2 linked regions of the Sus scrofa genome follow. The protein of the gene in region 2 interacts with the protein of the main gene of each other region in a biochemical or structural test. Links are inferred from orthologs where the notes say so. Each region holds a gene or a part of one and is shown on either strand. Other genes may lie near its edges.

Region 1 (3,651 bases), on a different chromosome or scaffold from region 2:
GTCGCGGGAGTGGCCCAAGAAATGGTCAAAAAAAAAAAAGAATGGAAGCTGAGGTTCCTACTTCTGGCCCAGTGTTTTCTGCCCTGGCCCACACTGAACCTTGAGGGCAAATGCTTGCCTATTACTTGAAACTAATATCCACCCAAGGTAACATCCATTTCAAGCCACTTTAAAAAGGATAAAAACAGGCTGGAGAAGTTAAAATAGGAATCCTCACTATTAAGGAATCCTCGCTTTATTAAGTGACTTTTTTTCTCATAGTTTATGGCCTATAGAGCACAGAGGTTGCTGTAATTCAAAAGGTTAATTACTATTTTATTTTTATTTCATCGCAATTTTTTTGCCATCAGCCTCTTATGAATCATCTTGTTTTCGGAATTCCCATTGTGGCTCAGCAAGTTAAGAACCTGACTAGATCCCTGGCCTTGCTCAGTGGGTTAGGGATCTGGCATTGCCGTGAGCTGTGGTGTAGGATGCAGCTTCAGATCTGGTGTGGCTGTGGCAGAGGCCAGCAGCTGTAGCTCCCATTCAACCCCTAGCCTGGGAACTGCTATATGCTGCAGGTGCGGCCCTAAAAAGAAAAAAAATATCTACTCCTAGTCTTCCTATCTTCTAGAATAGCTATTGAAACTCCAAGATATTTACTACTGCTTTTTTCTCCAAAATGACTTTTAAGTCACTATCATATCAACAAAGATTGTTTAAATAGTTGATTATTTGTCTTTCCATTACCAACCCATGATTTTAAAAAATAACAAAATAAGAAGGACAAGTATTCTTCTTCTTTTTTTTTTTTTTAGGGCTGCACCTGTGGCATATGGAAGTTCCTAGGGGTCAAATTGGAGCTGCAGCTGCTGGTCTACACCATAGCCACAGCAATGCCAGATCCGAGTTGCGTCTGTAACCTACATCACAGCTCACAGTACCGCCAGATCCTTAACCCACTGAGTGAAGCCAAGGATTGAACTGGCATCCTCATGGATAATAGTCGAGTTCTTAACCTGCTGAGCCACAATGAGAACTCTACGACAAGTATTCTTAAGCCAAATATTTACACTTAGACTCAACTAGAGAAAGTTAGAGACAGTAGACTAGGAGTGTGTCAATTTTTTTTTCTCCAGAGGAATATTTGAAAAATCACAGCATAAATTTCTATGATCATTTGTCATCTCAAAATATTTCAAATGTCTTCAATTGTATGAGGGTAAGAATAAATAAGTACCAGTTTCCATGAATGATTCTAGCCTGCAAATTGTGGTATATTCTCTCTTGTGCGCAGGTCCTCCCTCCTGGGAAAGGGTATATTCTGGAAGTCTCCAGCCATGATGAATAGCCAATTCCTAGAAAATTGAGATGAGGCTTTAGTAGTCATTTTTACTATGTAATGGCTCAATCACATACATATTCTTTCATGATTTTGCTCTCATTTCTATTTACATGTTTGCAAAGAATAATGATATTCGGCAACAAAAAAATGAGAGAAGACCCTCTATTTCCCAGAGATATTCCACATTTTCTATCTGATAGGCCCATAATCCTAAAACTGAAGCAGTTTCCTGCTGTGAAGGATGTTCTCCCATTAGGCTGTAGTGAGCTGACATCAAAGAATTCGAAAGAAAAGTTACTTTCACCCACTTTGGGAACATCCAAGAGAACATCTATAGGACTCGTGGCCATCAGTTCCGAAAGCCTCCCCTTCTAGCTAGAACCTTCCATACACACAGCTGCCTAACTGACTGCATTCGATCAAGAGCAGATGAGCAGACAGCAAACACACACACCCGAACAATGTGAGGAGCAAAGGGGAAGAGAACTACAGAAAAACTCTTAGAGCAGGAAAGAGACCACAAGACTGGTTGGATAACAGGGAGGGGACTTGTCCAACAGAGCACATGGATAATCCGTAAGAAGGATCTTCTGCACACACAAATTCAAAGCTGAATATATTGTTTTGGTAGAATTAGCAAAAAAGCAGATAACTTCCTTTTTCTTGAGTTAGGTAACTCAACTTGGGTTCTTTACAAAGTCTTCTGTCTCAACAGAAGTAGAGAGATTTGTCACAAGAGTGGCAAGAAATATTCTAAAAATATAAAACACTCTACCCATGTGCACTGAGGTCCTGTTGATCTCAAATGAGAATTCCACAAACCAAAGGCAGATACTGTATATGGGAGAAAATCCAAAATGTAAATATTTAAATAGGAAAATAATTTCAAGTTAATGCTTTAATATCTAATGACCATAACTTGGAACACAAAATATTATACCATCTAATCTTAAAAATATGAGTTCCTTTTTGACCCCTGTGATAATATCAACATTTTTTTCAGTAGACAGAAAGTTAAGTATGGAAAAGCTGTGCCACTTACCTGTAATGAACCAATAGGATTAAGCTGGTTCTTTGGTTGCTTGGAAGGGTCAGGCATTAAGGGGTCAGGAACTGCAAAGCTAAACATTTTTATAAAGTATTATAAAACAAAGGAATTTCCCCAGTTATTAAATAAAGGACAAGCATTTTCCATTCAGCTCTCCACACCTTTCCTCTTGTATTTCCTTTGACATGGAATGCCCTTCTTGCCTTCCTCTTTTATGAGAATCTAATCTATCCATCTTCCAAGGTACACTTCAACACTATTTCTTTTCAGAAGCCTGTTCTTTCGCCCCAGTGGAACGTGATTTCTCCCTTCTTTGAACCATTTTGACATTTGGTTTGACCTTTCCTCAACCAAATTATTTTTATCTTATGTTATATAGTCTTAACAACACATGTAATTGTCTATCCCTCACCACGCCTCTCCCTTGGCCAGACTGTGAAATCCTTGATAGTAGGGTCTAAGTATTACTTATCTTTATAAGCCTTGCAGTGCTTTACATATAACAGATGCTCAATGAAAAATATATTTAAGAAAGCATATTCTTGTTCCAACCACACAAAAACGGAAAACTAACAAATAGCCAGGAAATTCAGCCTGGTGATATAAACCATACAGATCATAAATCTAGTTTTTGTTACAGCCCTTAAAAGGGCTGTACCCAAGGCATGTGGAGATTCCCAGGCTGGGGGTCTAATCGGAACTGTAGCTGCCGGCCTACGCCAGAGCCACAGCAACAGCAACGCCAGATCTGAGCCGTGTCTGCGACCTACACCACAGCTCACGGCAACACCGGATCCTTAACTCACCGAGCAAGGCCAGGGATCGAACCCACAACCTGATGGTTCTTAGTTGGATTCGTTTCCTCTGCGCCACGATGGAAACTCCCAAATCTAGCTTTTTAACCCAGATAATTATGGAAGACTTGGTTTAATCTATCATCTGCTCCATGCTAGGACAATCCTCCTAAGATTTATAAGTATCCTGCATAAAATAGATGGCTGGCATGAATCTGATTTCAGTATGTGGAGACTGATTAGGGAAAAGAGAACAACCTCTTCTAAGTAGTGTGAAATTACTAGTTACTCGGGTGATGGACGTCTAACGGGAATAAGCTGTATTCCAGGTGATTACCACCTAGGCAGCTGAAGAGTCATTTCTTCCATGACCAATGGGTTGAGTTACTGTCATTTCCTCAAAGTTCTTTTCCATCTGCCAGAATTTCAAGCTTTACATAGGCTGATGTGATTCACTTACAATACTGTATACTTAAGATACC
Region 2 (4,408 bases):
GAGGCAATATTTAAATCAAGCCTAGATGATGAGAAAGCCCATCACACTTAGATATGGGGGGGGGGTTCATCTCAGGCAGAGGAAACCCTAAGGCGGGCACCATGATGGCTTCTGGAGAGATAGCAAAAAGGCCAAGGAGACTGCTGCACAGTGAACAAGGGGAGCAAGTGGGAAGTGAGTCAGAGAGGGAGGCAGGTGCCACAGCACACAGACCATGAATGAACTGTGGATGTTATTCCACTTGTAATGGGAAGCTGAGGGTTCTCAGCACAGGGGTGATGTGATTGGATTTATGTCTTTAATGATCAATCTGATGCTATGCAGAGAACAGAGCATGGGGGCAGTTGTGGAAAAAACAAGCAGAGCATGAGTAGAGGTCAGGAGACTAAGTCGAGGCTGCTGCAGTGGTTTAGGGGAGCAATGCTGGTGGCTGGAAGGGCTTAGATCTGAGCAAAGGCACCATCTTTGCAACACCACTTAGTGTTATAGAGAGAGCTAGGCTGTCAAGCCACATAGATCTGAGATAGGCACCTTTCTTAACCTTTAATTTGTGACCAGAAAAGAGGAATGAAAACACCTGATTCACAGGTTGTTGTGAAGAGTCAATCAGACAAAAAGCATCCAGCAGGGTCTCCCACAGCAATGCCCCTCAGTGAGTGGTGCTCCTGGCCTACAATCCCCAATTCCAAAAAGCACTGAAAACTGAGGTTTACTTTATTTTCATTTGATTTGGTTTCGGTCAGTGTGTAGCCCCCCATCTAGACCTGAACTAACATGAGTTATTTAGAGTCTTTACCACACTTTGTTGTCTGCAGACAACATTTATACATTTCACTGCAGAAATGTTTTATGATAGACTGCTGCTCCACTCTAAGAGCATTAAATTACTTACTAGTTTTTAAAAAATCCATAAGTCCCTGAGTACCAGGACATACCTGACCTAAGGGTTTCAGATAAGGATCTGCAGCTGTGTCATTATTTTTAGGAACCAAAGTGTCATTTAGTTTAGTCACAACCATGAGACCATGCATCCAATTGCAGGAGGCCATAGATCTCAGAACACCAGTTATGGAAGAGTCCTTAGCAATTATTTAAACCAAAGTTCCATGGAATGCCCTAAATCCACAGAACTTTTACCTCTACATAACTGCTGATGTTCAAAATGACAAGCCAGTTTGAATTTAAGCAAAACATAGGTGTAAACCAATAAGGTGCTCAATTGGCCTGTTTGAAATAAGTACTTATGAGTTTGGAAAAAAAGAAACAGCAGGTTTCCTTTCAACTACATCTCATTTGAATATATGTTACCATTTTCCTAAAAGAAAATTCCATCATAATCACTAAAAATGTTATGTGTCCATCTTACTCTTGCCCAAAAGTTACTTTGCCTGTGCCTTGATTCCCTTACGGCAGACTGTGAACACTTACGGGTCAAGCCCCCTCCAGGGTCTGAACACTGCTTGACAAACAACATTCAACTAGTACCTGATGAATTAAATGAATAAACTACACATCCAGTGTTACGGATCTTCAGGTTCAAATACGGAAAGAGAAGAACAAGGGCATAAACTGCTCAAGATTCTAAGTTCCTAAGGGACAGCAGGGAGTCTCTTAACTTCTGATTGGCGGGTCTCATACTCTGGAACTCAAAAGAGAATGTATTAACTACCACTCATTAAATAAAGACATAAGGAATATCTATTATGTACTAGGTTATACTAGTGAACAAAACCCTACTCTTGTGAACTTACTAGTGGAGGCATATGGACAAACCCAATAAAAAGTGTCACAGGATGATAAGTACTATATTGAAAACCAAGGCAGAATAAGGGGGACAGCAAGGGAAGAGTGGGGCTTCTTTCACATGCAGGTTGTTCCTGGAAGGCTGCTCTGATAAAGTGATATTGGAGGAAGTGAGAATAACACGAAGGACTGGTCCACACAGGTATCTGGAAGAAGAACCTTCCAAGAAGACACAGGCAGTGCAAAGGCCTAGAGGCAGCAGATAGTGCTGAGCTGTGCTCCAGGAACATCAAAAAGGCCTGCGTGGTCAAGAATGGAAGGAGCACTAAAAAACACTGTGTGGGATTCTGATGAGATGGGAAGCTACTGGGGAGCAGAAAGGGGTTGTCTTGTTCGGACGTGAAGTCAGGTTCCCGTGGTGTTGAGAGGCGGTGCGGGGGTGGGGGTGGGAATGGAGTTGGAGCTGGGGGGGGGGGGCTAAAGATGGGCTTTTGGGAAACAGTTGCGACAGTCCAGGCAAAAGACTTTTGGTCAGGGATTATTTAGCCAATTTTTTGGGCAATTCAGGCCTCCGTATCTCCCATCTGTTGTCTCTCAAGGATGGGGCTTTTTCGTTTTCCACTGGTTGTCCCTGCCCCCAGCCTGCGTCTGGGCAAGTGATTACTTGCTCTGCTAAAAAGATCTTCGCGGGAGATGAATGGCTTTGGTTCCCACCGCGCTGCATAGTCCCTCCCCAAATTCAGCAAACGCCCCACCTAAGGCCTCGGACAGCGCTCCCAATGCAGCGGCTCAGGGGTCAGGGGTCTTACCAGGGTCCAGTCCCAGGCTGGGGATGCAGGATGGCGAGCGCCCTTGTGGCTCCTGGTTGTCGGCCCCTCGCCACTCACCCGCGCTGCTGCAGTCTGTGAAGCCTGGTGGGATCTGGGCCGCTCACTCTCAGTTTCGTTTTCCCCGCGGACTCCGCCTTCTTCCCCCGCCGCACGGGCCCCTCCCGCACCAGTCAGCACTTGTCCGCGCAGGCTCCGGGATCGCGCGCCACTGGCGCCTGCACCCGGAGTTCCCGCGGGCGGCAGTGCGGAGCCTGCTGGGCACCCGCCGGCCGCTGCTGCGCGGTAGAGCGCGTCCGGGTCCCTGCGGCCTGACCTGGTCTTCTCATGCTGCTTCCGGCCCCCGTGGCGGGATCAGTCCGCCGGGATGTGGGGAGGACCTTGAGGTCTCCGAGGCCCACTGCGTGGCGGGCGCTCCCTGAACTGGGCTCTTCAACGCAACATTTGGGACGGCGTTGCGGGGAAGGATGTCATCAGCTCCATTTTACATTAGAAACTGAGCAAATTAACTGTCCCAGAACAAAGCAGGATTCTATTACTCTTAACCACCAAAGCACCCTGCCTCTTCCTCACATTCACCAGGCTGGGAATGAAGAGGTCTGCTGGCATAATCTCCCTTCAGTCTGTTTCCAGCCATCCATCCATTCATTCAACGATACTTGCCAGCCTTTGTACCAGCCAGTCCATCAGTTAGAGCCACTTGCTCCCCGCGCAACCTCCTGGAGGTTTCGACCAAAGTTCTTACCAGAAATCCCAGATTTGTAAAAAAAAAAAAAAAAAAAAAAAAACCTACTCACCTAATGGACTATGACACCTTCCCAAAGTAATACTGGTGCCTCGACCAAATGACTGAGGAGTGCTGAGGACTTACCTCACAACAGTTCTGCAAGGTAGGTCCATTATTATGCCCATTTAACAGATGAGAAAACAGGCCTGAGGCACAGAGAAGTAACAACTAGTAAGCTGAGGAGCCAGAATTAGAACCAAGAGTCTGTACCTCAGCATCCTAGCTAGGGTGAGTAAGAGAGGTGGTCCCAAGGTGGACTTCAGGTACACATTACCTATTGGCCATTGACTCCAGGAGTCCTTTCCCACTTCTCTTTTCTACCCCCTGTATGACAGGATATCAATGGCTAAACACTGCATTTTCCTTGATTTAAGTTCCCCCAATGTGGCACACTGATGGGAGTTTGGAAGGCAGGTAGGAGGCAGAGCCATCTTTCTGTGCCCTTTGAGGTCGCAAAAAGCTCTAGCTTTAGTGGCTCTTTGAAGGAGTCCACTTACCAGCTTCGTGGGTGTGGGGTGACTGTGACAGCCACAATGGCAGTAGCAATGACAAGTTTTCTGACTTTTTGAAGCCTCTGAACTGTCCAAGAGCTTAAGGAAAGAAAATGACAAGCTCAAGCATGGTCAGAGGCCACAAATTTTTATGGTTGAGGGGAAAATCTTCTTACTTCTTGTAAGCCTCAGGGCTGATAGAGCAAAAATCAGGTGCAGAGTCTAATACTACAGGGTAGCAGAAATACTATATAAATTTTTGTTGTTGTTCTTTTAAAGCTTTATTGAACTGTAGTTGAGTTGTAATGTTGTGATAATTTCTCCTGTACAACAAAGTGATTCAGGTATACATATATGCATAACCATTCTCTATTAGATTCTTTTCCCTTATAGCTTATCACCGAATATTAAGTAGAGTTCCCTGTGCTAACAGCAGGTCCTCATTGACATTCTTTTCCATTACAATGGTGTGCATATGCGGGAGTTCCCATCGTGCGCAGTGGTTAACGAATCCGACTAGGAACCATGAGGTTGCGAGTTCGGTCCCTGCCCTTTGCTCA

What was found.
Region 1: the proteins of EIF2AK2 (region 2) and PRKRA form a complex in vitro, tested with the Homo sapiens proteins (3 studies listed by BioGRID and IntAct, with this or other methods). The link is inferred for Sus scrofa from reciprocal best matches to the Homo sapiens genes EIF2AK2 and PRKRA.

The regions. Positions count from the first base shown.
Region 1 is NC_010457.5:84,146,473-84,150,123, forward strand, and holds part of PRKRA (interferon-inducible double-stranded RNA-dependent protein kinase activator A), read right to left. Parts: intron 2,449-3,651; coding exon 2,370-2,448; intron 1,341-2,369; coding exon 1,223-1,340; intron 1-1,222. UniProt on the Homo sapiens protein: Activates EIF2AK2/PKR in the absence of double-stranded RNA (dsRNA), leading to phosphorylation of EIF2S1/EFI2-alpha and inhibition of translation and induction of apoptosis.
Region 2 is NC_010445.4:103,039,499-103,043,906, reverse strand, and holds the start of EIF2AK2 (interferon-induced, double-stranded RNA-activated protein kinase), read right to left. Parts: upstream 2,879-4,408; 5' UTR 2,553-2,878; intron 1-2,552.